Mytilus edulis: one gene and its partners. The protein of the gene in region 1 purifies or fractionates together with the protein of each later gene. This does not show direct contact. Links are inferred from orthologs where the notes say so. Each region holds a gene or a part of one and is shown in the gene's direction. Other genes may lie near its edges. The genes, in order: retinoblastoma-associated protein-like, lysine-specific demethylase 5A-like, histone deacetylase 3-like and prohibitin 1-like.

What was found.
Region 2: the proteins of retinoblastoma-associated protein-like (region 1) and lysine-specific demethylase 5A-like purify together in Homo sapiens (affinity purification with western blotting; 4 studies listed by BioGRID and IntAct, with this or other methods). This does not show direct contact. The link is inferred for Mytilus edulis from reciprocal best matches to the Homo sapiens genes RB1 and KDM5A.
Region 3: the proteins of retinoblastoma-associated protein-like (region 1) and histone deacetylase 3-like purify together in Homo sapiens (affinity purification with western blotting; 3 studies listed by BioGRID). This does not show direct contact. The link is inferred for Mytilus edulis from reciprocal best matches to the Homo sapiens genes RB1 and HDAC3.
Region 4: the proteins of retinoblastoma-associated protein-like (region 1) and prohibitin 1-like purify together in Homo sapiens (affinity purification with western blotting; 3 studies listed by BioGRID). This does not show direct contact. The link is inferred for Mytilus edulis from reciprocal best matches to the Homo sapiens genes RB1 and PHB1.

Annotation. Positions count from the first base shown.
Region 1 is NC_092346.1:87,036,144-87,043,911, reverse strand, and holds the start of retinoblastoma-associated protein-like, read left to right. Parts: upstream 1-4,755; 5' UTR 4,756-4,860; coding exon 4,861-4,877; intron 4,878-7,158; coding exon 7,159-7,309; intron 7,310-7,714; coding exon 7,715-7,768. Other genes in the region: U2 snRNP-associated SURP motif-containing protein-like, read left to right, coding at 1,389-1,503. UniProt on the Homo sapiens protein: Tumor suppressor that is a key regulator of the G1/S transition of the cell cycle. The hypophosphorylated form binds transcription regulators of the E2F family, preventing transcription of E2F-responsive genes.
Region 2 is NC_092344.1:46,177,138-46,185,121, forward strand, and holds the start of lysine-specific demethylase 5A-like, read left to right. Parts: upstream 1-4,973; 5' UTR 4,974-5,118; coding exon 5,119-5,271; intron 5,272-6,553; coding exon 6,554-6,631; intron 6,632-6,824; coding exon 6,825-6,884; intron 6,885-7,144; coding exon 7,145-7,207; intron 7,208-7,984. UniProt on the Homo sapiens protein: Histone demethylase that specifically demethylates 'Lys-4' of histone H3, thereby playing a central role in histone code. Does not demethylate histone H3 'Lys-9', H3 'Lys-27', H3 'Lys-36', H3 'Lys-79' or H4 'Lys-20'.
Region 3 is NC_092344.1:34,971,159-34,978,653, forward strand, and holds the start of histone deacetylase 3-like, read left to right. Parts: upstream 1-4,474; 5' UTR 4,475-4,524; coding exon 4,525-4,582; intron 4,583-7,495. UniProt on the Homo sapiens protein: Histone deacetylase that catalyzes the deacetylation of lysine residues on the N-terminal part of the core histones (H2A, H2B, H3 and H4), and some other non-histone substrates.
Region 4 is NC_092357.1:67,337,053-67,344,664, forward strand, and holds the start of prohibitin 1-like, read left to right. Parts: upstream 1-4,604; 5' UTR 4,605-4,763; coding exon 4,764-4,845; intron 4,846-5,752; coding exon 5,753-5,914; intron 5,915-6,782; coding exon 6,783-6,925; intron 6,926-7,612.

The DNA of each region.
Region 1 (7,768 bases):
TAATTAAATGAAATATAGATGGAGTCCCTGGGGTCACCCTACCCCTCCTGTTTGAGAACTTGGAAACCAATGAGATCCCGACCCCTAAACCATATATATTCATGTATGGGACAATATAACAAATAAAATGAAATGTAGGGGAAGTCCCTAGGGTCACCCTACCCCCAGTGGCGGATCCAGAAATTTTCATAAGTGGGGGCACGCTTCAGTGATTCCCTATATAAGCAACCAATTTTTTTCCCAAAAAGGGGGGGCGGGCCCCCTGCCCCCCTAAATCCTCTTCCTACCCCTACCTGTTTGAGAACTTGAAAACCGTTGAGATCCCCACCCCTAAATTATATATATTCATATGTATGGGACAAAATAACAAATCATTTACATTTACTATGGGCAGGTCAGTCAGACCTCACCTTTGATCCCTGTTGTAGTGAACATTTGTCTGATTCGTGTCTCATAACTTTTGTACTATAGAACACAAACTCAGTTTTCTTTTCAGGGAAACCAGTCCATTCATACTATTACATGTTCATACTAAGTCAACTTGAACTTCTAGCAGTCAAATAAAACCAAGGTTAACTACCAAATAGAACAACTGCAATCATTGGGAACTTGTACCACTGCAGACTCACCATTAAAAAATATACATTGATATATGCATTGCTTTTGAAACCTTGATAACATATAAATTATTAGCCTTAATAAATAAATCATTAGATAAACATGAATGTACTATATATGAATGTTTAATGTTGAGGCAACATTGCCACAGTTTTCATAATTACGGTTGCCTTGGTTTTTGGTTAACTGCCTTCAGCGCTTACAGCGCTTTGATTGTATTTCATTAATGTAATATTGTGTAGTCCCTTCCTTTATGTTGTATCTTATAGGAAACAATGATAAATCTCTGTTGAGTGAAAAAAATGGTTTTCAACTTTCTTTTATGCATCATATTTGAGAAACAGCATAACCATCAACAACCAAATTACATAACTTCACAATGATTAGTTAACATTTGAATATATTCTATATATTGGATGCTCAAGTCAAAATTAAAAATTAATGGTAGGATTATAAAAAAAATCAACCAGTTATCAGACTAAATTATATTGGTTCATAGAAATAAATATAAACTATTTATCATATTGAATTAAAGATGTTCACACTATCTTTAACAGTGCAGTTAAAAGCAAAAATATAAGTAATATTTGGATGTATATGGTGTAATTGACAGAATGTACATTACCAAATAACCCAAACAATTCACTTACATTTAACATAAACAAAAATGATTATACATGAATACTTCAAGAATGCTTGTCAATAGATTGTGATGATGTTATATTGTGATCTGAACCATCTAAATACATTACTTCTCCATTTCATTGTAGTCCCAAAAGATCAAGAAAGTCAAGATCAAGGTCACGAACTCCAAGGAAAAGGTCAACATCCAGAAGTCCTAGCAGACATCGACATAAACACAAGAAAAATAAATATAGAGACTGATATATAATTAATTTATTTATATGCTTTGTTGTATGAACATACTGTCCACAAAATAAGGTATCAGTTATAAATGACTAATTGGGCATGTTAAGAAAACCTGGGTGTTACAATCAATCAGTTCTCAAGGAAAACATTGATAGTGAAATAATCTGAAGAAGAAATGTGACAATCATGTCATTTTAATGAAGAAAGTCTAAACCTTGACCTTGGTTTTTATGAGGATGAACATTTGTTGAATTAGTGATTTGTGTGCAATTAGTTGTCATTACAGAACAGTGTCAAATTTAAATATCTGTCATTAGATATATAAAACCAAACTGAAAACCTGTTATTTATCATAATTTGTAAATATGTACATCTTATAACATTTCTGGTCAACATTTGTATATACTCATTTATACCACACAACAATTATCATAAAAATTGACATCAATTTAAATATTAAATGATTTTGCAGCTTCTCATAGATTAGTAGCCTGTTTTACAAGATACTGAATTGAATATAAGTTACTTCAAAAATATTCTATTTGATTTGTAATAAGACTGCTTCTCATGATAAAATATAATGTTCAGAATATTGCTTAGAAATGGAAAATAGGCTTTATGTGCTTTAGCATTATCATAGAAAGAATTTACATGTATATGTATGCACTTCTGGAAATATTTATCGTGTATCCAGAGCTGCATCTTTGAATTTTTAAAATGCATTTATATTTCAAAGGAATTAGAAGTGCACTTTGTCAACTAAATTTTTCATATAATCAAAGGTTGTTTTGAATAAAACTACCATTGTCTAAATGTTTGTATTTCTTTAATTAAAATGGCATTTATTTTTGTGATATGTTTATGGGTTAGATTGTTTATCTTAAACTAACATAGTCCTATGGCATATCTTGTTACATGGCATCCACTGGCCATCATGTTTGTCAGCTCTTAAACTAACATAGTCCTATGGCATATCTTTTTACATGGCATCCACTGGCCATCATGTTTGTCAGCTCTTAAACTAACATAGTCCTATGGCATATCTTGTTACATGGCATCCACTGGCCATCATGTTTGTCAGCTCTTAAACTAACATAGTCCTATGGCATATCTTTTTACATGGCATCCACTGGCCATCATGTTTGTCAGCTCTTAAACTAACATAGTCCTATGGCATTTCTTGTTACATGGCATCCACTGGTCATCATGTTTGTCAGCTTGCAATAACAATTTCTGTAATATTCTCGTCTGACAATACCCTGCTAATAAAAACTAATCTTTAACATAACCATCCTCAAGTTTTCATGTGTCAGAACTATCATGTTACACACCAATATGGCTGATCTTACTTTAAATAGAACAGTAGTTATTGTGAACCAAATGAAACTTTTCAACAGAGTCATCTCCTATTGGTCAATACATTTTAACTTTTGTTAGTTTTATTGTCCCATTAAATTAATTCAATAGCTATTGTTCTTGTTCTCTCTGTAGTTTATTTACTGTGAACTTTAATAAAAAATGTGGTATGATTCAGAATGAGACAACTCTCCAACAGAGACCAAATAACAACTATAGGTTACCGTTTAACCTTCTTTACAATGAGAGCAACCCATATCGCATAGTCAGCTTTAAAAAGCCTAGAAATGACAAATGAAAAAAAAAATCAAAGAGAAAGTATTTTTGTACATATGACGTCACATGTACACCCTTTTGCATGCTGAATGAGATGGTGGTATTGTGTTTGATTCCAGTGAATTAGATTAATTGGACTTTCTAGATAACTATACATTGGAAAGATGGTCTTCTGGTTAGGAATTCAAATTGCTATAATTTTTGTGTACTCAATGTTTATTACAAAACACAGATCAATAGTATTTTTTTCTGAACAGCATCCATTTTAAATCATATTGAAGAGTAATGCCAAGATTTTTGTTGAGTCAGATTCTAAGGTATGACTGTGAAGAATGTAGTTATGTTTGATGGGAGTTTTCTCGTTAGAAGCTGTGAGAAATGTACATTTGTCAGTGAAAGATCGGAGTAAGACTTGATGGTTCAGATAGTAATTTAATAATGGCTACAAAATATACAATCGGTATTGCCGTAGCGACGTTACGTAACAAGTAAATGTCCCGAAGGTTTGTGTGTGACGTTCCCGGAATAATAGCAGATATTACAGTCAGGATGAAAAGTCATCCCACTTTGCAACAGCATCAATATCTTTCTGAAGGCTATTACAATCTTTTGTTAGATTTGATACTTTTGTATATGATGCTGACAGTCATTTCAAATATTCTGGTAGGTCATTTATATATATACCAGAAATAGAACAGGACCCAGAACCTGTGGGACACCAAAAGTAACTGAAGCAACATCTGATGACTCTTGTCAAGGACTACTGTTTGTGTGTGGTTTTGTAAAAAGGTAGAGATCCAGTTTTAGTTAACATAAAGCGATGTGGGACTTGGTCAAAAGCTATTTGGCAAAGTCCATAACTATTTTATACTCTGTTTAGGTGAGAATTTAGGAGCTAGTGATGATTTTTTTTTTAAAGTCAGGACGGTAGTTTTGAGTTAAAAAAAAAAGCAGGATAAGATACATTTTTTGTACTTTCCAAAAAGAAGATGGCAGGATGACAATTTATGTAAAAAAAAGATTAGCCTCATTAGGATAAACTCTAGTCCAATTAATTATGACGTTGAGGAAAGTTTTTTTCATCGATTTTAGCTTTGACACCTTGTAAGGCGTCAAAGAAAAAAATATAGCCTTTCAATGCATCATAATTGTTTGGACTAGATAAACCAAGAAATTGCATATTTACAATTCCTATAAAGACAAACTAATAATAAAAAAGCAGGATGGAAAAGAATGATATAAAAACGCAGGACAGAGATTACAACTAAAGAAAAAGGCAATACAATTTTTTTTAGTCAGCCACCTCATTAAAAATACAAGAGACATATAATCTGGGACTATTATACTATTAAAGATATATTGATAAAACAAATGTGTCTGAAGAAGTGTGAAAACAGAGGCACATGTGTCTGGTGAAAACTATCCACCAAAGTTCAAATGAGGTGAATTTTAAAATATCTCTATAAATAGTGATTTGACTTGCTATCTTGATCATTATAATTATTTTAATTGTTATAGGCAGAAAATATCAAATACGTAAATCACGCTAAGAATGATTGAACTATTTATAAATTGGCGCCAGTAACATTTTTTCAACTTTGACCTTTAAAATATCAACCAATCAAAAAAATTGACACAAAAAAATCGCGGGATTTCTTTCATCAAAACAATAACATGTGTATCAACAAACTGATCAACAAAAACATTATAAAGTAAATTGGAATAATAACTACACGTAACATGTCGCGGTCTTCGAAGTAAGTATTAGTTCCAGAATTTTTTAGGGCTGAAGAATTGCATATGCACCTGTTATGGATATGGTCAAATAAAATTATTTTTGGAGAAGTGGGAGGGGACAGCTACATCGCTTTTAGTTTTGTTCTACTAGATTGCTTTCCCCTTTATTCTTTTAAGTCACCTTTATTTAGAGTAATTATACATTGTAAATGGTGTTAGCCGTATCACTCCTCCAGATCTGCTAGTGTAAAGTCTACATGTCTATAGAGGAATCCTTTCGGGATAACTTATTTAATACCGACAGGACAATCTCCAACAACAAGGGATTAGCACTAGCAGTGCACCAAGAAGACTTATTATGGTGGAAGAAGGCAAGAATCCCAATTGCTTGCACTAACTTTAGTGTATTGTCAGATTATATTATTAATCATGTTAATATAAATGTTTTTGTATGTCATATGAATTCATACTAAAGCATGCTTTTTCAATGGAAATTGTGACGTCACAATGCCTTCTTAATAATAATAGTGCGAAAACCCATGAGATGAAGATCGATAGTGTAAAGTAAATACATCAGGGGTCCAGTTTACCACTGCTATTTCTCATTGTTTCTCATTCTGATTTGGGGGGGAGGGGGTGGCCTCTGTGGCAGAGTGGTCTAAGTTGTTACTTCTGTAATCACAAGCCAGTCATCACTGAGGTTGTGAGTTCGAACCCCGCTCGTGCAGGAGCACTCAAATCCAATCTTTATTGACTAGGATTGTCAACTTCCCTATCAAAGGAAAACTCCCACACCCGGAGGAGTCCTTCAGCTGGCTCCTAACATATATGTTACTAATTCAGTGATAACGGACGTCATACTAAATTCCGAATCATACACAAGAAACTAAAATTAAAAATCATACAAGACTAACAAAGGCATGGCTAGAGGCTCCTGACTTGGGATAGGCGCAAAAAAATGTGGCACGGTTAAACATGTTTTTTTAGATCTCAACCCTCCCCCTATACATTGTACCTCTAGCCAATGAAGAAAAAACAAACGCACAACAATACGCATAGTAAAACTCAGTTTAAGAGAGGTCAGAGTCTGATGTCAGAATAGGTATCAAAAGAAACTAAACAAAATGTCTATAATACATAAATTAACTAAGGACTATTAGCAGTTACTGACATGCCAGCTCCAGACCTCAATTAAACTGATTGAAAGATTATGTCTTCATCATATGAATATCAAGCACAACCCTTCTCGTTAGGGGTTCAGTATTATACCATCATAAAATATATGAGAAGAACATTATAATATACTAGAACACACCCGTGACTGAATTAAAGTATATAACTATGCGTAAGCCATATTTTAGTATTCGTATTGTCATCTGATAAAAGTCATGTCGATTATCAAAATGATTATAAGATATGCAGTTTTCTCTGCTTTCAAAATCTTTCTGTTTGAACCCGTCGACCTGGAGCTTATCAATTATTGGTAATATTAATTATTTGGAAAACAAAAGGTCCTGGAATGGAGTAGTTTTTAATCAACAGCATTATCCTATATTAGCTATATATAGTTATAAATAAAGTTGAATTCTTTTAAATTCAAATTCTTCAAATTGAAAACTGTACCTATATGCCTTATTTTAAGTCTAGATTTTCAGTATTTGTATTGTTATCTTAGAAAATCTTACTGATTAAAATACTACAATAGGGAACAATTTGACAATGATTGAATTTAGTAGTGTCAACCCTGTGATTATGACCCGTGTATATAGCAAAATCCTAAATACACTGTTTGGTAGTGTGCCTGTCAGATGTGAAATGTACAGATAAGGTAATAGGTAACAGGTGAATATACTATTGGTATCGGTATTGGATTCGACCCAGAACTTGTTAATTATGTGGAAAACAAAAGGGTCTGGAGTGGTGTAATTTTTAATCTACACCATTGTCCTATATTAGCTATATATAAAGTTGAATTCTTTGATTTGTTGTTTTTATCCCACGATGGCTGACAAATTGGACCTCGTTATTTTAGTATTATAGATACATTGTATATTGGAACAAAAAATAGACACATCAAAATTCAGAAACAGTTTTAATTTTCTGAAACATAAGTGCATTTGTTTTGATTATGTTCGAAAAAAAAAACTTTGTATGTATATATTTAAAAGCTATATAGTTAAGATAATTAAGTTTGAGATGACCCGAGTCAATGACTCTCAATTGTCGATACGAAGACTGACTCTTAACCAAGTAGAAGAAGAATTGATTAAAATTGCTTTTTACAAGTATACTATTTTTCAGAGAACAGGAAATTCCAGAAACAGTAGAAACCATAGTTACAGTTGACACCAATTTTGAGAATTTGAGCAACAAACTGAAGTTGAGTAAAGATGTTCGGAATAAAGCTTGGGACTACTGGCAGATTGTGGAGAAAGTAACTGCTGATCTAAAGGTAGTGATAACAGTGTGATGATGGGTGGGGTTTGGGATGGAAGGCACAGGCACTTGATTTATTTTGTAATGGATTGGTGAGAGGTCAGGAAGTTCAAATTTTGTGGTTATGTATTCAAAGTAAAATGCAATTGTATACATGATGGCCATGAAATAGTATGCACAACTGTATGAAGAGAAAAAAGCACAATTTCTCAAGTAACTATATATACATCCTTAGCTTTGATATTTATGACTTTAGCGTTCCCGGTTGAGATTAATTAAGAAAAGCACTTTAGATGCAGCACCTCTAAATGATATTTTTTCTTTCTTAGTGTACACTAAATGGACATTGAAACATCTTAATGAATAGTACAAGTTTGATATATGTATAGTCTTCATGTTACTTTAATTTCTTCTGTTGTAGGAAATATCAAAGTCTGACCTATTGGCATGCTGCATTTACCAGGCAGTCATTGAT
Region 2 (7,984 bases), on another chromosome or scaffold:
TTTTGGTTATATAAAGCAATAAGCACATCAACGGTTCCTGGTCCCCCAGATTATATCAAGAATCTGTATTATCTGCCATAATGGCAGGGGTATCATTGGGCACCACCCAACTCATTGTTGCCAGGTTAAATGTGTCATGCAACAGTACTTGAACTTATTATACATAAGATGTAGTAAGAGGTCCAATGAGGCAACTATCAATACAAGTCACTAGCCTATTTTAAAAAGTATTGCCGAAACATTTTTCTGCAAAGTGTAGCGAGGCTAAAAATAATAAACGAAGGAATCATGCTTTCTGAGTGTTTCCCAGACCCTGTCTTAATCTGAAAGCTTGAATGTGTTCTGTTTCAAAATTGTTTATATTTTGGACTCAAAGCAAAATGTATAGAATCTGTGTAAGACTTTAGTTTCTAGGGACAACATCTAAAGAAAAATATTTAGGATAAAGCAAAAATGTAATTCACATAGTTCAGCATGTGGCCACTGGGTTTTCCTTTTTTTTTTGTGTGTGTGACTGTTTCAGCTTGCATAATTTTAATCTTTTATACCTGTAAATTATTAAAAAAAAATTCAAATAAGTCAAGAGGGGCTGAATATCATTGATATAACTATGTCAAGTAAGTTTTTATAACACATTTCAATTACAATTTGATGTAGCTCCTATAAACTTGGATACAATTTTTAGTAGTTGAAAAGTTGTAATTTTATATTAGCTATATAATATAAAACTAAAAGGTATGCAAAAAAGAATCCAGGATCAGGTGTTTAGTGTTTGTAAGCTCATGATTATGGGATTGACCCTTTCAGGATAAAGGAATTCTTTTTTCAAAATTTCATGATTATGATTTGTTTTGATTTTGGACTTCAGGATTTCATGTTTTTTAAGTCCAGGATTTGGGGATCACAACCCCTCCTACCCCCCCCCCCCCCCCCCCCCCCCCCCCCCCCCCTTTCCCTTCAATGCAGACATTTCAATTGTATCTAATTAATATTTATTCTTTTTTAAATAAAAGATATGGGAATTTTTTGCAGATTTTTTTTTTAAAAAGATGAATATTATAAATAATCTGGTGCCCTCTCAAAGTATCAAACTATGAATAGCATTTATGAAATGGCTTAAAAGACCTGCTGAGTTATTTATTTTCAATAGTAAAACATTGCAAGTCAGATTAGTTTTTACAAATTACCACAGAACAAACCATTTATTTTTGTGATCATCAAGGCAGCCCCATGTTAGGGGAGGGGGATTCTGCCAACATGTTTAACTCAACACATTATATATGTATTTGCCTGTCCCAAGTCAGGAGCCTGTAATTCAGTGGTTGTCGTTTGTTTGTGTTACATATTAGATTTTCATTCATTTTTTTATACAAATAATGTAAGGCCGTTAGTTTTCTTGTTTTGAATAATTTTACATTGTCATATAGGGGCCTTTTATAGGTGACTATGCAGTATGGGCTTTGCTCATTGTTGAAGGCTGTATGGTGACCTATAGTTGTTAATGTCTGTGTCATTTTGGTCTCTTTTGGATAGTTGTCTCATTGGCAATCAATTACCACATCTTCTTTTTTAGTTATTTATTTCACCCCCCACCATGAAATGGTTGTTCCCTTACACAACATATTTTCTGTTGAAGAACAAATAAATATACATTTATAAATATAATTTGTTCTTCTTCTTCTTCTTCTTTATAATTCAGCACTCCATCAACATACTGATGATAACGTGCCGGGCACTGATTTTACTATGCCGCGCGTGCGTGGGATATACATTTTATTTACAGTGAAAAATACAAAAATAAAAATAAAAATTTCAACATTTATAACTTCTTTTTCTTCTGTTTTTGTACTATACATTTTGGTTAAAACTATATACATTGTAGAATTTATTTAAATGTTAAGATGTTTATTGAGAACAGATATTGGAATCTGTTCTCGGAAGCTTTCAAGAGTAGTACATTGAACTGCAGCTACTGGGAGAAGGTTCCATTGCAAGATGGTTCTAGGGTAGAATGAATACTTGTATGAGTCTTTAGTGGTTTGTATGGGTCTGAAAGAGTAAATATGTGAATGTTGTCGTGTTCTTGTATCAGATTGTGTAAGTAGGTCTGTCGGATATATGGCAACAAGATGATGTATAATTTTGTAGAGGAAAATGATGCGGGTTCTAATTCGCCTTTTCTCAAGTGTTGCCCAATTTAGAGTTTGTAGCATTTCAGTGACTGAGCTGGTGTTATGGTATCTGTTGCAGGTGTACCTTGCTGCTCTGCGCTGGACCATCTCAAGTTGGTGTGTTTGAGATTTGGTGTGCGGGTCCCAGACGCAGCTGCTGTATTCTAGCTTTGGTCTTACTAGTGCAATGTATGCTTTTTCTTTGACTGTTTTTGAGTTGACTTTTAGATTCCTTTTAATAAAGTTCAGCTTTTGTGTGGCTGCAGCTGTGATATTGTTTACATGTTTGTTCCATTTGAGATCAGTTTGTATAGTTATTCCCAGATATTTTGTGGATGTTTCTTTTTGAAGTACATGTTGGTGGAGAGTATAGTCAAAATTTAATGGGTTTTTCTTAGTTGTTATCTGAAGGACTGAGCACTTGTCTGGATGGAATGACATGAGCCAGTCCTTCTCCCATTTTGCAGCTGATGTGAGATCTTCTTGCAGTTTTTGTGTGTCTTCTTTGTTTCGTATTGTTTTATAAATTATGCTATCATCTGCAAATAATCTGAGGGTACTGTGTTTGATGTATTCGTTAAAGTCGTTTATGTATACAAGGAAAAGGATCGGACCCAAAACTGTTCCTTGGGGAACACCAGATGTTACATTTATTTTGTCTGACTGAACACCATCAATGATCACTGTTTGTGTCCGAGATGTGAGAAAATCTTCTATCCATTTTAAGGTGTTGTCATCAATGCCATAATGTTTTAGTTTGTAGAGGAGTCTTTTGTGAGGAACTTTGTCAAAGGCTTTGGCAAAGTCCATCACAATTATGTCCGTTTGGATGTTACTGTTGTTATTTTTTGCTAGTTCTTGGATGAAGGATACTAGTTGGGTTTCGCATGATCTATTTGCTCGAAATCCGTGTTGAAGGTCGTACAAAATATTGTTATTTTCTAGGTGGTCCATCATACTACTGGCTATTATGTGTTCCATGATCTTACAAAGTATGCATGTGAGAGATATGGGTCTATAATTTATTGCGTTGTGTTTATCACCTTTTTTAAAAACAGGACAGACATTTGCATGTTTCCAATCTTTTGGGATTTTTCCTGTGTCGAGTGATTTTTGGAAGATGTAGGTGATTGCGGTTGAAATGTCACTACTAAGTTCTTTGAGTACTGTTCCGCAAATTTGATCTGGACCAGTTGCTTTGTTAGGATTGATCTTGTCCAGTAATTTTATGACACCTTTCTTAGAGATGGTGATCTTGTTCATTTTTGGATAGTTCGATTTTCCTTTATCCGGAATGGGTTCACTTGTTGTTTCTTCGGAAAATGCTTTTTGAAACTGACTATTTAGAATGTTAGTTTTGTCAGATGTATTGTCAGTAAGTTTACCATCTTTTCTAAGTGCAGCAATGCCTGTATTGTCATTTTTCATACTTTTTATGTATGTAAACAAGTTCTTAGGTTGTTTTTTCCTGATGTTGTCATCTGGTTCATCTACTGGTAGGTCAAATATCATTTTTTCAATGTTATTCCAGTAGGCATTACGCATTTCTTTTTGTAATGTTCTTTTTAAGTATTTGTATTTTTTCATTTGCTCTGGACTGTTTTTGCTCTTTTTATGTAGTCTTTTAACTTTGTTTATCATGATTTTTAATGTTTTATCAACCCAGGGTAGTTTTTTCTTGTTTGTGATTGTTTTCTGGGGGATGTTTTTCTTGACTGATTGAAGTAGTCTTTCTGTAAATGTATTCCATAGTTCGTCAGTAGATGAACTATGGTAATGACCTTTGATTTCTTGTGTGAGTTTGTTCACATCTTGTTTGATGTTTTCCAAGTTAGCTTTTCTGTACTGCAACATGTTTAATATTCTGCAAAACTGGAACACAATTTAAATATAATATCATTTATTTATATCTATTGGTATTTATAACAATAATATCAAACATATATCTGTATGAATATTTTTGGTGTCTCTGTTTATCTGTTTCATACTTGAGTTTCCCTAAAATTAAAAAGTGTCTCAATGACACTGCAGTCAAGAATGGAATGAATGAATATTACAAATACCTTCAAGACTATTTATTAGCGCTGAATTAACATTAACAGCCTTTCTACCCAGCTTTCTTGTCTGCTCTTCAATAATGGCATTTAAGGGGCTGATTATTATGCATTTGGTGTTATTCATTTTTCCAAGCATTTCAAAAATTAATGACTTCCCATAGCCAGTGGGTAGCATGATCAACGCATCACTTTTCATTGCACCTTGAATACTTTGCAATTGCAAAGGTTTCAAGTAGGTTAAATTAACGTTTCGCGTACAGTTGATCTTAGTTAAGGCAATTTTATGTATCAAGACATTCTTAAGTTTTTCTTTAAAATCTTTCACATCGTCTGCTGCCATATTGTTTATTGTTGTCATTTACAAATGCATGCCGGGAGAAAACACCGGCTTTCCTATTTTGATGACGTCAATATTTTTAAATTTAGAACAACCTCGATTTCAAATAAAAAGATGGCGTTATACCCTACCTGTCTTGATATATGAAATATGTAATATGCACATTGATCTAGACAGGCGAACCAGTCTACTCTAACCAATCAAAAATTTGTTTGATTAAATTCATACGCACTGACAAGTGTGAAAACATTGGAAATAAACATTTTGGAAAAAAATATTAATACATGTTTAATTTATGCTAGTCCCTTTAAAGTTTTTATTTTATATGCTAAATTATGGTTGTGGAAAAACATTCGTTCATTTTGGTACATTAAAAGATACTTTAATTAGAACTACATTGTACTTCCCATATTTAGAATAAGTATGTTCTTCGGCACCTCTCCACACATACTGGATTTTGTGTTTTAGGGATTCTACTACTATATTTTGGTCGCGTTATATTAGACCCTCTGGGTCGTTTTTGAATTGGAAGTGTCTGCCGTTGGCTTGCAGCATGGTTGACAATTCTTGTCCAAGCTTCAGGCGTCCTCCAGAGGCACCGGTATTTACTCCAACTGAGGAGGAGTTTGCCGATCCGTTGGGATACATCGCCAAAATAAGACCGATTGCAGAAAAAATTGGATTATGCAAAATTAAACCACCACCGGTCTGTTATTACTTTATAATATCATTTACTTTTCACTATTGTTGAATAATTTCTAATTGCCATTGTGTGTATTTCCCCTGAAAGTGTTGAATGAATTCTGCATGGTAATACGTGATCATACGTGCAAGTTATTTTCCCAAACATGGCGACGCCTTTTGTTCAGATCTGTCATACATTAGCACCAGCTATATAATAACTTAAAATTATAGTTATATGTTTGATAAAATGAATAGTCTATATGAAAAAAATACAACTCATGAAGTATGTGTTTACAAAATGTTTTTTAAACATGTTAAAAGTTTCTGAAAATAAAGTTATGAAACAAAGAGAAAAGCTGGGCCTCTTGTTTCTGTTTCCTACTTGAGGCCTTTTGCCTTATATGATGCAAAGGATGTACTAGTGTCTCGTAATTTAATGACTCTGTGTCTTTTATTATGATTATTAAGATTTCAACTTTTTAAAGAGTATTTTTGTATAAAAAATTCATATAATCACTACATAATTAGCAAATTTGTCTGTGTTTTACAATATAATTCTTTTTAGATTACTTCATATTATGATTAGATGAAGCATAAATAAAAAAAAAACAGTTTGTATTTTCACATTTCAATTTTACTCCAGGGTTAATCGTTTAATTAATTATAGGTTATAATTTCATATAGATTTTAGCAAAAAAAAAGGCAGAAATTTACAAGTATAATGATTTTAAAGTGTTATTTATCAAGTTAATTGTCTTTTTTTCTTATACATTCATATAAAAACACTAGGTGAAATAAATTAATGAGAAAAGAAAATCCTGGATGCAATTTAAAGATTGTTCATAACCTTTGACTGTTGACTTATTTACATCTGATCTACATGTCTTACTACAGATTTTATCTAAATATCATTTTCAAAGGCTGAAATTGAAAAAAGATGGTTGCTGTCAGCTCTAAACACTCATCTTATACTTTCCATATATTTTTGTGAGACAAAAATAAAAAAGTTGCAGGTCAAGCAAGATCTTGCAGTTTTACTCAAAAAATAATTTTGTTGAGAAAAAGAGGTTGCGAATGATTATTTTTTATTGAATTTCATCTCATTATGAATAAAATGATGAAAAATGTTAGATATGATATACTGTAAAATTCCCTATGAAGAAGGAACTACATAAAATATTTCAACCAATATGGCTGCCAAGCCAGAGACTAAAGGTAGCCATTATCAGCTTGTAAGAAAAATATTAAATATTTCTAATATATCAAATAGGTGTATTCTAATGTCCATTCTTTCGTTCATTTAGGACTGGCAACCACCTTTTGCTGTTGATGTCGAGAAATTCACATTCACTCCCAGAATACAAAGATTAAATGAACTTGATGTAAGTATATTGGGGCTCAAAATGGGCAACACTTTATAATCTTATACTTCTTGTTGCTTATTTTCGTTTATAAACTGTTTTAATGAAAAAAATAAATGAAAAATTTACAGTAACTTGATTTATTGTTAATTTATGTGAATTTTATATTCTTTTATTGATTCTATATAATAATGATTATATTTATCCTTTTCAGGCCACTTCTCGAATGAAGCTGAACTTTTTGGACCAGCTTGCAAAGTTCTGGGAGCTACAGGTAAGAATGATTCTCTTATTATTTAATTCATTATAATCTTAAATGTTGATTTTGAAGGATTTGTTAATCAACAATTTGAAATAAGAAAGAAGGTTCCCCCTTTTTTTCACAACATGTTAGCACTGTGCCAGATCTTACTTTATTTCCTTTTTCATCAGACATTGCATTGTTTTAGAAATTGTGTGAAATAAGGGACTGACTTAAAGTGTACATTGTAAATATATGCTATTATTGATCATAGAAGATTGTTTTTTTTGCAGGGTTGTTCTTTAAAAATACCTCATGTGGATAGGAAACTTGTGGATTTATATACATTATATAAGGTAAGACATACTTTTTATCTATTTTCTTCTTGTTACTTCACTATAAACATCAATCTTTTCATTGATGTCCATGTTTTCATGAATGGAGAGATCACATGATCAAAATAAGACTTTTGACCCCAGTATGTTATGAAACATATGTTTTGAATTTTCAACCCCAAAAAATGGCTGACACCAAGATAAATATAGTGTTGTGTAAACCCCCAAAAAACAAAACTTCAACATAGGGCCGGTATTGAAGCTGTAAATATACATTAAGGCAATGCCTGATCTGATTCCGTTGCTGGATAATACTATATATAAGGGTTTGTAGATCAAATAAAGAAAAAGAAATTTGCCAACCTTCCCTGACCGGTTCTGGCCCTACTTTTTATCAGAAGGTTTCAGTTAACAAACATGGGATTTTTCTTATGGTCCAGGGGGCCTCTGTGGCCAAGTGGTGTAAGAAGTTGTACTATTGTAATCACTAGACAGCCAACACTGAGGTTGTGAGTACAAACCCCGCTCATGCAGGTGTGCTCAACTCCAATCTTAATTGATAAGGATTGTCAGTTTTCCTATCAAAGAGGTCATCAAAGGTCAGTGGTTTTCTCTGGGCAAACCTGGCTTCCTCCAACAATAAAAAGTGGCCGCCATGAAATACCCCAAAAGTGGGGTTAAAACACCAAATATCAATCAATCTTTTGACCCATGTGATAGTTTAAACAATTGTTAAATTATTGCATACATGGATCTTTTAGGCAAATTTAAGTCGCCATTATCTTAATATTTTGAATT
Region 3 (7,495 bases), on another chromosome or scaffold:
TAGAAGGAATATAAATTTAAAACTTTGCAAATGTGTTTTTTATGTTAAGATGAACATAATTAGATGATAAGTAAAAAATCGCGGAATTTCCCTTTAATGTACATGAACACTAAAAATGTCACATTAAGTATATATATGATAAGTCATCAATTAAAAAAAACCAACATAATTATTGTAGTGGTCATTTTTTTTTTAAATTTTTTTAAATATTGCTTTATGTAGTTTAAAAGCTATCTATTCATGAATTTTACAGATATATCAAAATGTGGGATCTGGAAACAAACTTCACACAGCTTATATCAATCATATTTGATTTTATAAGTACATGATCCCTGTGATGAGAGTTGTAACTGGGAACTTAATCAATGAATAATTAAAACTGAATAGATTTTTCAGTCCTCACTTTCTTGAGAATACTGTCACAAAAAATTGAGAATGGTCTTAGCCTGCCGTTCAGTTGTACATAATTAAAATTCTAAAATATATTGTAGTAGTTGTTAAATTCAATTGAATTTTAGATAATTAACTCCCAACTTTAATCAAATGTTTTGATTTAGAAGGTGCAGATCTCATTGGTCCAAATTGTCTCTATGATGAATTCTTGACTAAGGAAATGAAATAACAATAAACAACAATTAGTTTCATTATTGTATTAACATCGTGACATCATACTCTTTCTAATCCTTTCTGTATATCCTTTCCAAATAACAACATTTATACCTGTGTACGCTTGAACTCACACCTGCGGCTAAATAGCTACAAGGTAAACGAATTGACCTCAAGCCGAGAATATACAGTGACCTATACAAAATAATATAAACACTCTGCTCACACATTAGTTGCATTGAAATGATTATCAAAACAATAACGGTAAATAGAACTGAAATATTTTCAGTTCAATATCAGTAAAAATGTTCAATAAATATTTTATGAAAAAAATCTCAACAATAATTAATTAAATTTATTCAAAAACATTTACTAGAGATAATTTTATAGGAGTTTAATTCAATCAATACAAAACGGTATATGCATATTCATGTTCGTTCATTCTTATATTGTGGTTAATAACTTCGACCATTCGTCAGCTGTGCGCTTTTAATTACGTATATTGTCGATAAGCTATAAGAGTTAAACAGATTTTATTTTTTCCCAGAATTCAATAAATCGGGCTAATACGTCACGACCCACTCGAGAATTCAACCCAAAAATGTATCGTCAAAAACATATTAGTAAAAAATTACCGAACTCCAATTAAATTAAAAATGGTGAAGCCCATAAAACCTGACGACATCAAACGTTAGTATTTATCACCATTGGAACGATTTGGAAAACAACTATTTTATTTCTGATTTTCGTTAACAAACAGTGGGTAAAATCTGGTTTTATAGCTAGATAAACCAACCTCTTGGCTGGCAACTCGTATTACAGTTGTTAATAGTTCGGTTATATTTACGTGTCAGTTTGGTCTCTTGTGGACAGTTGTTTCATTGGCAATCATACCACATCTTCTTTTTTTATGAGTAACTAAAACAGACATAATTGGTTAACATGACAATAATTGGGATCCAGCATCAAACACTGCGTAAACATTCACCACAGACAAATAGCACAACTGACAACAATAAATCAACACTGTGTAAACATTCACCACAGACAAACAACACAACTGACAACAATAAATCAACACTGTGTAAACGTTCACCACAGACAAACAACACAACTAAAAACAATAAATCAACACTGTGTAAACATTCACCACAGACAAACAACACAACTAAAAACAATAAATCAACACTGTGTAAACATTCACCACAGACAAACAACACAACTGACAACAATAAATAAACACTGTGTAAACATTCACCACAGACAAACAACACAACTGTCATCAATAAATCATCACTGTGTAAACATTCACCACAGACAAACAACACTACTGTCATCAATAAATCATCACTGTGTAAACATTCACCACAGACAAACAACACTACTGACAACAATAAATCAACACTGTGTAAACATTCACCACAGATAAACAACACAACTGACAACAATAAATCAACACTGTGTAAACATTCACCACAGACAAACAACACAACTGACAACAATAAATCAACACTGTATAAACATTCACCACAGGCAAACAACACAACTGACAACAATTAATTAAACAAACATAAAAAAAATCTAAAATGAGACGCCAACAAAAAAAGTTGATATAACTGATAGTATTAAATCTGACAAAGACGCCAACAAAATAATTGTGTGTAGTTGATAGTACATATATTAAATGTGTAGTTGATAGTACATATATTAAAACTTCATGTCGTTCTAGTATGAGTCACATTCTCGAAGAAGTACAAATTAAGTTAAACCAATAAAAGGATAAACAAAATGACTAACTAACATGACTAATGCCGAAACCTTGACTGGAAATTATTGTCCACTAGTAGTGGTATCGACAGTGTAGATCTATGTAAAACGTTTTGTGTTTGAATATGTTCTTTTGTTCTTTTTTTCTTGGATATTAAGATAACATCCAATAACATACATATTTCGAAGACTAAACAAGTGTGGGCACAGATCAGTGTGGATTGTGTTTGGATGGTTGACAGTGTTTTCTGACAAAAAGAGTTCTATGGTTCTAAGACCAAAATATCAATCAGTGCACATCCAAATTCTAATGGAATCAGTGTTAATAAAACGTCATTAAATCTATATTTTTGTTTCAGGACAAACTAATCTATTTTGGCTAAAGCTGGGACTTTTATACCACCAATATATTATCACCCAGGTCATAGATGTCCATGGATACAAAATTAAACTAATATTAAAATTCAAAAACTCAAAATCTTGTAATAAATTGTCTTCAAAAGTGACATGTTGAATACTATTTTATTTTAAAACATTACGTGAATTGTTGATTTTTTAAAAACAAATCATGTAAACTCTTCAATATCCAAATAGACAATTTTGTAACATTGGCTATCGGATAAAAGAGAATGAAGGGTGGTGGCAAAATTATATTGTCTGGGGTCTCTTGCAGAAGCAACAAATGAAAAACATCAAAATGGTTGAGAACTTTATACTTTTAATCAATACAGCTACCAAAGTGCAGTTCGTGTTATACTTGATAAAACCAAGCCGACCAACTCTACAACAAAGAAGTCGTGCATCAGTCACAATATTTGACAAAATTTAGAATCAACTAGTTTCAATCTAAAACACGCATTATCTGTCACCTTGTGGGTATCAATTTATACAATCATTATATTCAACACACTTCCTTACTCTTTGAGGCTTTTTGTAATGCTTTATTGACGGTCCCGATTCCGTCGTAATAGCATGACCATATAAGAAAGAGATCATGCATATCTAGTTTATGAAAATTCACAGAAAAAATCCCCAAAAAACGTAGCATGAAAAAGGTCACAGGAAAACTTGCCTCAGTAGATAAAGTTAAAATGATAAAGAATCAAAAGAGAATAGTAATTCTATTTTAAGTTTTTATGTTAGCTTTATATTGAAATCATGCAATGGTATTTAAAAAGAGACATCTTTATTTTTTAATTCAACATTTTCCTTTCTTTTTATACAATGCCGTATTTTTACCACTTAGACAAACCAATAGATAAAAGATAATTCATAAGTTGAACAAACATTTAACTTCAAAAGTGTGGGGAGGGGGGTCAGATACTATTATTTTTATCTGAGTCAGAAATATTTGTTTTAGTTTCTCGACACTACACATATTTTTTTTTTATTTTCCACTCTATGGTGTGGAGAAAATCTGAATTCAGAATATTTTTCTTTGTCATCTGCTTGACAACAATATTTTGTTTCATCAAATCAGAGGGGATCAGAAAAACTTCTTTTTTTTATAGTTAAATGGTCGTTTCTAACTCACAACCATTGAAATTAGACAAAATATTGACCACCAGTGTCTATCCGTATAGTCAACTTAACTCAGTTCGCAGCCGTCTGTCAGCTATTCTACTGAAACATGCATAATCTGTTTTAATGACATGGCCTTTTTTAAGGCAGTGGCTATTTTGCCGGCTCTGATTAAAATGTCTTAATGCAAGCCGACAATTTAAAATAGCCTATTTCTATAGAATTTCAAGTGCTATTTTACCGGAAACAGCAATATAGTGAAAATGTTGCTTAGCTCATGTAGGTTAATATATATATGCTTAGCTGTCGCAAGGATTTGTATAGTTAGATATGTACAAATCCTTGGCTGTCGTAAATACCGTAATGTTTTTTTCCAAAATAATTATATCGATTTTTTTTTATCTACCTGCTCATTGGTAAAATTAAATAGTCTACTTATAAAAATCCTTTTTACATAGTCTTAAGTTACTTAACTCTACAAACCCTCCGTAAAATTAGCCTCATGTCAAATAATTCTTGTACGTGGTTGTCTATGTTACGACGTTACTCTTCGGTAATGAGTCAAATCAAATGCTAACCTCTTTGGTAAAGAAGATAAATAAATGATATGTAGAAAAAGAAGAATGCAAAATGTCAAACCCAAATATTGCATATTTTTACGACCCAGATGTCGGCAATTTTCATTATGGTACGATTAATGCACACCCTAAGTATAGGCTTTATTGCAAAAATGGGTTTGGTGAAAATTATGGCCATCTTCCCATTGTTATTTATGAATCCGGGTCCGTCCGCCCTGATTTCGGTTCGCCCTAGTTACTGTTCGCCCTAGTTCCGTTTCGCCCTGAGACCGTTCGCCCTGATACCTGTTCGTCCTGATTTTTATTTTTTTATTTTAAGGCGTATTTGTTACAGAAAAACTGGTTTTAGTTTAAGGTTTTGGTTGGTAAGCGGAAGAAGGGATCCCGTAGACCGCCCTACGTCACGATTCGTGAATTATGCATATTCTATTTATAGGCTATTTTAAAACGATTCGGTAAATACTAATGCTAAAAATAGAATTTTCTTAACATGTAAAACTATCTTCAAAAAAAAACGATGCAAAATCATTAACTTTCATGGAGAGTGGTAAAGGGTTATTTTCGTGGAACGTGATCGCGTTTTTTTATTTCACGTTCAACGTGTTTTTACTTTTTTATTACACGTTCAGTCGTGCAAAACAGCTAGGTGTTCAACTTGTTCTTCTTATGTAATTTTTATACGTGCTTCGTGATTCAAATGCTTATTTTGCGTGCTCAGTATTTTTCAAAAAAAAAAAAAAAAAATCAAACACCAGACAGGGATCGTCAACATGGTCAGGAACGAAATTGATTTATGTTTAAACATATTTATTTATAGTGGATTGGGAAACAAGTTTTGCAACTTATATTAGTCCCTTTCCACTTTGCGGCTGTGAGTTCTGCCTTGTAGCGTAAGCATAAGCCTACTCTTTTTCGAAATCTACAAGGGTGTCTTTAACGTGCAAGAGATATGGCTCTCTCTTAACACGGGTCAGCCATTTATCGTCCCCTTCCGACGGACTATCATCGTTTCCTCAAGACCATACTCGCAAATGGTGTCGAGGGAGAGCCGAAAATTGAGTTCCTGAAAAATTTCATCCCAAACGGGAATCGAACCAGGAACCTTAAGTGTTATTAGTCCGATGCACTAACCAAAACACCACGGCTCTCTACAAATTGATTTAATTTTGTTTCCGTGAAATGATAAGGCGGCAAGGCCAATGATGTTCCTTTATTTGCATTTTAAAAGTTCAGAATATCTTTATATACTTTTTTAAAAGCTGTAAATCATTTATATCATAAATGTGTACACACTAAATAGGGAATGTTAAGTAAAACAGAGAGTTCATATATACAAGAGGACAGTGACTCAGTCACAAAAGGTTCACCTTCAAGTCTTTATTTTTTGTGCAACGTTCATGACAGAAATTATTTCACGTTCAACGTGAAATGGTGTCTTAAATAGGAAAATGTTCCGCATTACAGTAGCATATATCATTGTGCCCTCATTAAGCAAATACATATTCCTTTTAAGATATATATGATATTTCACATATATATGACACACAGTAGTGGTGCCTTAATTATGTTGTAAAGACTTGCAAATGTCCCATGCACGTGATCCCATGGCTTTGAATATACTATGGAGTTAATAATATTTTTATTATCTGCTTAATAGAGTACTTTGATGTAGGCAAATTGAAAAAAAACATGTAGCTTACACGTTCTTAGACATGAGACATTTCCTTTACGGGGTGTGAGGGGGTGGTGGTAGTGGTGGTGGGGTGGGGTGCTGGTCTTCGTTTCCCCTGTTAATTGTTTATAATGAAGCTACATGTTCTATTAGGGCGTTCTACAGGATCTTCTGGGCGGTCTACATGATCCCCTGTTGTCTGAACCTTATATTTTTACTATAGAACGTTCTTTAGGATCTCCCATATTGTTTGTTTATCATGTATATACCAAAGGACGTTCTACAGGATCACCTGGGCAGTCTATAGGATCCCCTGTTGTATGAACATTATATATAAACTATAGAACGTTCTATAGGATACTCTATTGTTTGTTAATCAAATATATACTAAAGGATGTTTTACAGGATCCTTTGGGCGGTCTTCAGGATCCCTTGTTGTCTGAACATTATATATCTACTAAAGGACGTTCTATAAGACCCCCTGTTGATTGTTTTTCATGTTTATACTATAGGGCGTTCTACAGGATCCCCTGTTGTCTTTACATTATATATCTACTATAGGACGTTCTACAGGATCCCCTGGGCGGTCTACAGGATCCCCTGTTGTCTTTACATTTTATATCTACTATAGGACGTTCTATAGGATCCCCTATATTGTTTGTTTATTATTTATATACTAAGGGCGTTATACCGGATCCCCTGGGCGGCCTACAGAATCCCCTTTTGTTAAAAAAAATATGCATCTGAGATAGGAAATTTAATAGGTTCCCTGTTCTTTGTTTATTACGTATATATTATAGGGCGTTTATGATCCCTTGGGCGGTCTGCAGGAGCCCCTGTTTTCTCAACATTATATATATATCATAGGACGTTATTTAGGATCCCCTATTGTTTGTTAATCATGTATATACTAAAGGGCGTTCTACAGGATCCCTTGGGCAGTCTACGGGATACCTGTTGTCTTTACATTATATATATACTATAGGACGTTCGTAAGACCCCCTGTTGATTGTTTTCATGTTTATACTATAGGGTTTTCTATATGATCCCTTGGGCGGTCTGCAGGAAACTATGGGTGGTCTGCAGGAATCTCTGTTTTTCAAAATAATATATGTACTATAGGATGTTCTATAAGACCCCCTGTTGATTGTTTTTCATATTATAATATAAGGCGTTCTAAAGGATCACCTGTTTTCTCAACGTTATTTATCTACTATAAGACGTTCTATAGGATCCCCTATTGTTTGTTAATCAAGTATATACTAAAGGGCGTTCTACAGGATCCCCTGGACGGTCTTCAGGATCCCCTGTTGTCTTTACATTATATATATACTAAATGGCGTTGTATATA
Region 4 (7,612 bases), on another chromosome or scaffold:
TCCCCTCATATAATCAATGTTGTGAGTAGTATTGATTTAAATGGACAATAGATGGACAATAGACACCTGTAAACAATAGGTGATTTAACAGGTTTAAACTGTGTAACTGAGTGGACCGTATCAAATGAAACTCGGGTGTTTGTTTATTTTGCTATCTTCTGCAGACTGGAAAAAAATGAACATCAAAATCCAGGTAAGTTTTTAATTTTCTGAAACATAGACTTCATATAACTTTTATATATCTAGTTCCTGCCATGCCTTAAAACTTTCCTGGATGTACCAGTTTGTCTGTACTCATAGTAATTTTGGAGGTGTAAACACGGCCATATTTTTCAATTCCTTATGATGAACCTTAATCTTGACAAAATATAAAATGAAGCAGCAACAGAAATAATAAAGATAAAAAGAGGCACCTTGAGGATACTGTACCACAAACCATCACTAAAAACTAACATTTCAAATCAGAACATGATGCCAGATTGACAATATAATGGCAGTGTTCATAAAAAAAGATATAGAAGGATTTTAAGTTTATCAAAGTGTACAGATACTTTCAATATAAATTATCAGTGTCATCCTAATGGTCATAGAAAGGAGGGAACTACAAAAGAAAAGGTACATGGTTTTCGAATCAAGAGTTATTTCCCCTACAAAACCTAAATATACACGTGTATAATTTTCTCAATTAAAAACAAACTTTTTAAATGTTTTGTGTACTCCTTCGTTAACACATTTAAACAATAACAAGTACATTCATTTACACATGGGATATTTAACGTCATATAAGAAAGTCTAGTTTCTTTTGTGGCGCAAGATGGCCTGATAGCGTCCCCAACATTTTATTCACTTTCAAATTGCAGTTTGACAGTAAATTACATTCAAAAAGGGTTAATAGCAGTTGACCAAAATACACAATGAAGATGTTATCGTTAACTTACCACTCAAATTTTGGTCTAGTCGCCTAAACTTTGTTATTTTCGATTTCAGTTCTCAACCACGTTTTGCATCATACAGCCACGCATGCGCCCAAAAGACCGGTCTGTTTCCGTCTATGAACTAAGTAAATGCAAAAACAAATGTCGGAAACTGATCTGTAATGTTAACGTATTATAAAAGGGCACCTGTTACACCAAGATTTTGTTTACTGTCACTGACAAATCCTTTGTTACACCCAGACCTGCCAACTTTTAAAAATCTCCATGGGGGATTTAGTGCGCGACCATATTTTTAAGGGACAATTTTTGCGGCGTTTCTGTGTGCACTGTTTTTTACTCTTAAAATAGTCTCATGTCTCTTCTTTTTTCTTTTGGTATACTGATGATGATCTTATAAGCCTTGATTTCTTTAATTGGCATGATTCTTGTACTTATTTTAAAATTGACAAAATAACTTAAGAATAGAGAAAAATGGCATTAAAAAAATAAAGGATACTTAGTGAAAACCCCTTTTTCCCCTCCAAAAACCTTATCTTTTGGACCATGACTCAAAAGACATAAACCTATATGTCCTAAAGTTAGAAGGATAAATACAGATTTTGATTAAGTCTATCAGTATTAATGAGAAAATGGATAAAAGTTGAGTTATCTTTCTTTGTGTTCGGAGGTGCTCTTACCGGCGGAGGTTTATTCACAGTAGAAGAATACAAAATGGCGTCGATTTTAAATCAACAGACACATGTCTGATTTCAAAAATTAAATGGATTTCAAGATAAACAATGTTTTTTTAAGAGTTCAATACAGTTCTCATCTTTAAGTTAATTACGATTTCGTTGTGGAACTACGGTAAACGTTGCAAATTGTGCTCGTATGATAAATTGATTAAAAATGAAAGGCCAACTGACCGACTTTCTGTTTACAAATAATAATATTAATTAATATTGAGGATTGTTATGACCAATCAGGTAATCCAATTACTTGCAACAACAAATTATGACACCTGTTGTGACCGTTGATTAGCGTAGTATTGTAAACTTGTCATAATATGTCCCCAGGTAAAATTATAGATTATCAGAAAAACTTCAAAATCGGACACCAAATAATTTTTTCGGGTATATTTTGTGAAAATCGGGATTTTGACTTGTTTTAGAATCCCGATATCGGGATTCGGGTTGAGGGATGAAAATCGGGATGATACCGCGAAAATCGGGATAGTTGGCAGGTCTGTACACCTAATCTGTTAACTTTTCTCTTTTTTTTACTTTTCAAAATAACGCTTAGACTTTTAAAAATTATAATTTAAATGAATCAGGCATGTTTCATTACATGGCGAATAGTTTATTCAATATATGTTTCGAAAAAGTTATTTTGACGAACCTCGTTAAAATTTTAATCTATTTGAAGCTAACAGCAGCCGAAAATGACCGTTTGACGTTTGCCGTTTGATACGTTTCCCTCAGTTTTAGTTTGTAACCCGGATTTATTTTTTCTCTATCGATTTATGAATTTCGAACAGCGGTATACTAGCTGTTGCCTTTATAATTAACCATTTGTAATATATCTATGAAAATTTGAAACTCACTATTGAAAGGGTAATAGATCGTAATAATGCCCTATACCGTCAGGCGTCAAACGGCCATTTTCGGCTACCGTTAGCGTGAAATTTCCGTGATTCGTCAAAATATCCTTATCGTGATTCGTCAGAGGTCTCAAATAATTATCGTTACCGTTATTTGTGGAAAAAAATAACGTGAAAATCATTCCATTTTTTTGGGTCTAAAATTAAGAAAGTGCATAATTTATCGTCATGCACCAAAAATTACCGTTAACGTCATTTGGCAAGAATTTTTTACCGTTATTCGTCATGAAGGTACCCCCATTACCACCCTCTATTAGTAATACTTTAAATTCCTTTCTATACAAAACCATTTCAGTCATAAATTTGAAAATGTGCATGCTGCATGCTGCATGCTTGTGTGCTATTTCTAATAGTGTAATAATTCGATTAAAAAATATTTTCAAAGCCAGTATTTTATAGTGAGGCATTATCATGAACAGAATTTCATAGTGAAATATTGTCCAGAAGGAGGTGACAAAATTTCATGGAGAAAGTCACTATTTCATTATGAAATACTGTCAGTGGACAATATTCTATATGAACTTTTGTCCGATAGACAATATTTCATGGGGGACATGTACAATATTTTAGGTTACAAAATCGGCATGTGGTAATATCGGATGCTCCTAACACGCACTGCTCCATATATGACACTCATGTCATGATGATCATTTTAAGTCTCGCTCAGTTATGTCCAAATCGAGGAAAATAGGTCGGGAGATTGGTAATTCGTTAACGAGCTTCGAATACTCCCGATTCCAAAACGTTTGACAAACCACTATTTATGCAATCTATAGCTATTCCTGGGAGTAGAAAGTCGTTTATAATTCAGTCAGTGAACAATTCAGAGTGTAGAAATTGTTAACATTTGATTGATAAGAAATATGGCCACATCAATGGTAATTAATAGGTGCATCCTTGGCGCTATTTTGCCGACTCCGGCAAAATAACTTTATTTATAAATAGTTTTGCTATTTTGCCGGTTTTAAGATCAAGACTTAGAAGTATACAGATTAAGAATAGAAAAAATATAGAAATATACACTTGGAAAAGAAACCTTATACAAATAAGTCTTCTATAGCACATTTATATATACAAAGCGTCCATATAAAAGTTTATATTCTTTATTTTAATTAGAAGTCTCTAAAACATGTCTTTTTTAAAACATTTTAAAAGCATACATACTAAAACTGATACTAGTTTTCTTTTCTTTAAAAGGAAGTCTGTAAACAATCTGTATTGAAATAGAAGATATGCATTGTTTACTACTTACTAAACATGCAAACCCATATGAAAAATGATAACTCTAATTCTTTTATTGATAAGCATATCATATTAGTTTTTATATAAAAATTCAACAACATCAAAATGCTTTACAAGATAAACATAAATATCGTGTGTACATATGATTTAATGAGCCAGGTCACTATAAGTGAATACACCAGACCTAGGACCCAGGATGCAAGGCGAAAACAGAGTAATTGATCACATCTAGCAACACATATCATTTATGCATAAATAGTTTCAATAAATTTGGATTTCATATATAGTCATATTAAAATCGGAGATAAGACCAGCAAAATAGTAAAACTCTATATAGATCGCTATTTTGCCGGAGCTGGCAAAATATCCACTGCCTAATTTATATCAGAGACATGTAATACGTGACAAAAACAGAAGTCATTACTAACTGCTGGTAGTGTGAACCACTATTTGACCGTGATTTGTCGTGCAGTTTATATATCCAAAGTTTTAAGAAGAAGTCAAAATACATCTAGTTCATATATGTAATAAGCTTGAATGTGATGTTTGTATGGATTTATACTTACCTGAGATATGTTCTATTCTTGAATCTTTTAATTATGAATAGGATCACATTTTTTTGAATATTCTAAAAGTATTTGTCTATATCCTCTAGATAGGTTTTTTTGTCATGGTTAATCATACTACATTAATTTCTTTTTTTTTAAATAAATTGTGGCAAATTACCAAATTACTTCTAAAAAAAACACCCTTCATCCGTATTTAAAACAGGTTCGTATCCGTCGTCCGGTAAAAGTTTTATAAAATATCCGGTTTTCATAGCATGCTGCCTTGACCAAAAAAAGTTGACCTTTCTTGGATTTTATCATCCTTTTTTATTCAGAGTGTGTGACAACAACATTTTTGAGCAATATATTCTTTCTTAACCACCACAAACGCCATAAACAATGTCTTTTCTAAGTAAAATTGGATATCTAGGCCTTGGTGTTGCTCTAGTCGGTGGAGTCGCTCAGACAGCATTATACAACGGTAAACTTCATCTTTTTGAAAACCTTATTTCGTCTTGTCGAAGATGAGTTTGACGTACTAAGATATTGTGTATATGTTAAATTTGACTGACCGTAGATTTGAGATTCGTAATTTAATTTCTAAAATGTTACACAATTATGTAATCAGCTGCACAGCCACAGGTCTAGAAGTCATGTGGGTTCAATAATCGATTCAGTGCCAGTGGTCCTTATTGACCTTCATATTTCAATTTTATTTTAGTATAGTAGAAACAATACTGGCTCTCAGAGGTAAAAATTAACAACAATTGAAATGCATGTGAACTCAAAACAAGGTTGCAGTAAAGTAGGTCATTGACATTGTTCTGGCTTTGATTTCATCACCAGACCTATAACTTACATCAGGTGCAAGACAACTAGTCACTGAGATAAAATGTGCTGATTTCAAAGAAAAGACAACTCAGAACATCTTTTAATTATAAAAAAGAAGATGTAGTATGATTTAAAAGTCATAGTCCGCTATAAAAGTCATCTTGGACCGTCAATACGTAAACTCTGACCATCTATACAATCGACTTGGACAAAGTTATATTTAGTATAAATAGGAAAGATTTGACTACATAAATGAGTTTCTTACATGAACCAAACTTTTTCTCAGAAGTTGGGCTGTCATAATCACATGATAACTCAAAGACTTTAAACAATGATTAGACAAATCAGACTGTGTATCACAACTTTTAGACAATGTTGTTTGATCAGGTTTTATTTAGTACCCAGTTGTCTCTAGGCTGAGTTGTCCTGCATTGTTAACATCATGACATGCATGATTTTTTTTAAGGTTTTCAATATTAAAATCAAATTTTTTATTGGTTAAAGAACACGTATATATATCACAATGATAGAAAATGTATTCTTTTCTATTTTTTCAGTTGATGGTGGTCATAGAGCAGTTATATTTGACAGATTCAGAGGAGTACAAGACATAGTTTCTGGAGAAGGGACACATTTTTTGATACCATGGGTACAGAAACCAATCATATTTGACATTCGATCAAGACCAAGAAGTGTTCCTGTTGTTACAGGAAGCAAAGGTAGGAAAATTTTCCATTGATAATAATATACAACGGAAACTATCGAAAAAACTATTCGTTTGTGATAACTACTAACTACCAGTGGCGGATCCAGAACTTTTCCTAAGGGGGGCCCGCTGACTGACCTAAGGGGGGGGCCCTCTCCAGTCATGCTTCAATGATTCCCTATATAACCAAATTTTTCCCACAAAAGGGGGGGCCCCACCCCTGGATCCGCCTATGACTACAGGATGTAGCTGATTAACTTGATTGTGTTTAAATCAGATGCCTGGTAGATAAAATAATTTTAAAACATCCTAGTACATTATCATGATTATGTTTTGCTTATATTTAAAGGGGTTATGGCATGGGGTATATAATAAATCATTGAGATAGCAATCCATAAGAAATAAAATATACATTTATTAGGGCAACATTATTTTCATTTAGTCTTCAATGATAGCATGATTTCAACTTGTTATCAGAAGGGTAAAAAACAAAGAATATTGAATTGTTTTCTTTTAAAGGAATGTTTCAGCCTCTGCTGCAGGGGAGGGGGTATTAAGTTATATCCTTGTCTGTCTGTTCGTGGTCCATACATCAGTTTGTCTCAAAATTGGCTTTGTTTTTTTGTTCTGAAAAACAAATGTTAAGAAACTCATACACAATGCCTAAATTACATGTACCTCAAAACTCAGATCAAGTAAAAATTTGGGTAGAGTCGCTTTTACAGAACTTTCTTGAGTTGACACATTTCCCGTATATTTATCGTGTTTATATCATGCATATTATTTGCTTATTTTCCCAATTTTGTTAGTATACAAAATCTTTGCACTTTTCTATATGATGGTTTTTGAGAAATCAAAGAATAATCATTTTATGTTTTCAGATTTACAGAACGTTAATGTCACATTGAGAATTTTATTCAGACCAAAGGCTGATGCCCTCCCAAATATATACACAAATGTTGGTCTTGATTACGATGAAAGAATTCTTCCATCCATCACAAATGAAGTCTTAAAGGCTGTAGTGGTGAGTAAATTTGATTAGAGATGCAGCGTCTCTTGTTAACATCAAAAGTATGTGTTTGATTTCACCAGAGCTATCCTATTTCCTACCGGAAAATCACTACACAAATGAACGTCTTGAAATATATTGTCTATTAAAATTAGAAAAATGCAAAGTTATAGTATTGTAAAACAGAAAGAGAGAAAGTTAATGTTAAAAGTCAAGCACACATCTGAAAACTGTTTCCGGAATATGAAACTACCTGGCATACCCTTACCCTTATTCCTTCTGCCATATTCCATTTGGCTGTATTGAAGTAATAATATCTCCAAGATAGACAATTTGATAAACTCAATGGGTAAAAAAATGTAATCTGAAACAAAAATCCCTTTTCTACTGATAATTTTATTTGCATGTTCCTCATTCAACATGTTCAATGATTGCGGTTGACTCAAAAATCTAAATTAAGCACAAACACATTTATTTAATATTTACATTTTTTTCAAATTGTCAATACATTGTTAATTGTTAAATGTAGCCTTGAAAGAACAGAAAATAAAACCCTACCAATCTGAATAAATATAAAGTAAATCTGTATAAGAAGATATGGCATGTATGGTATGAGTGCCAATGAGACAACTCTCCATCTAAGTCACAATTTGTAAAAGGTCAAAGTACAGTCTTCAACATAAAGCCTTGGCTCACATCAAA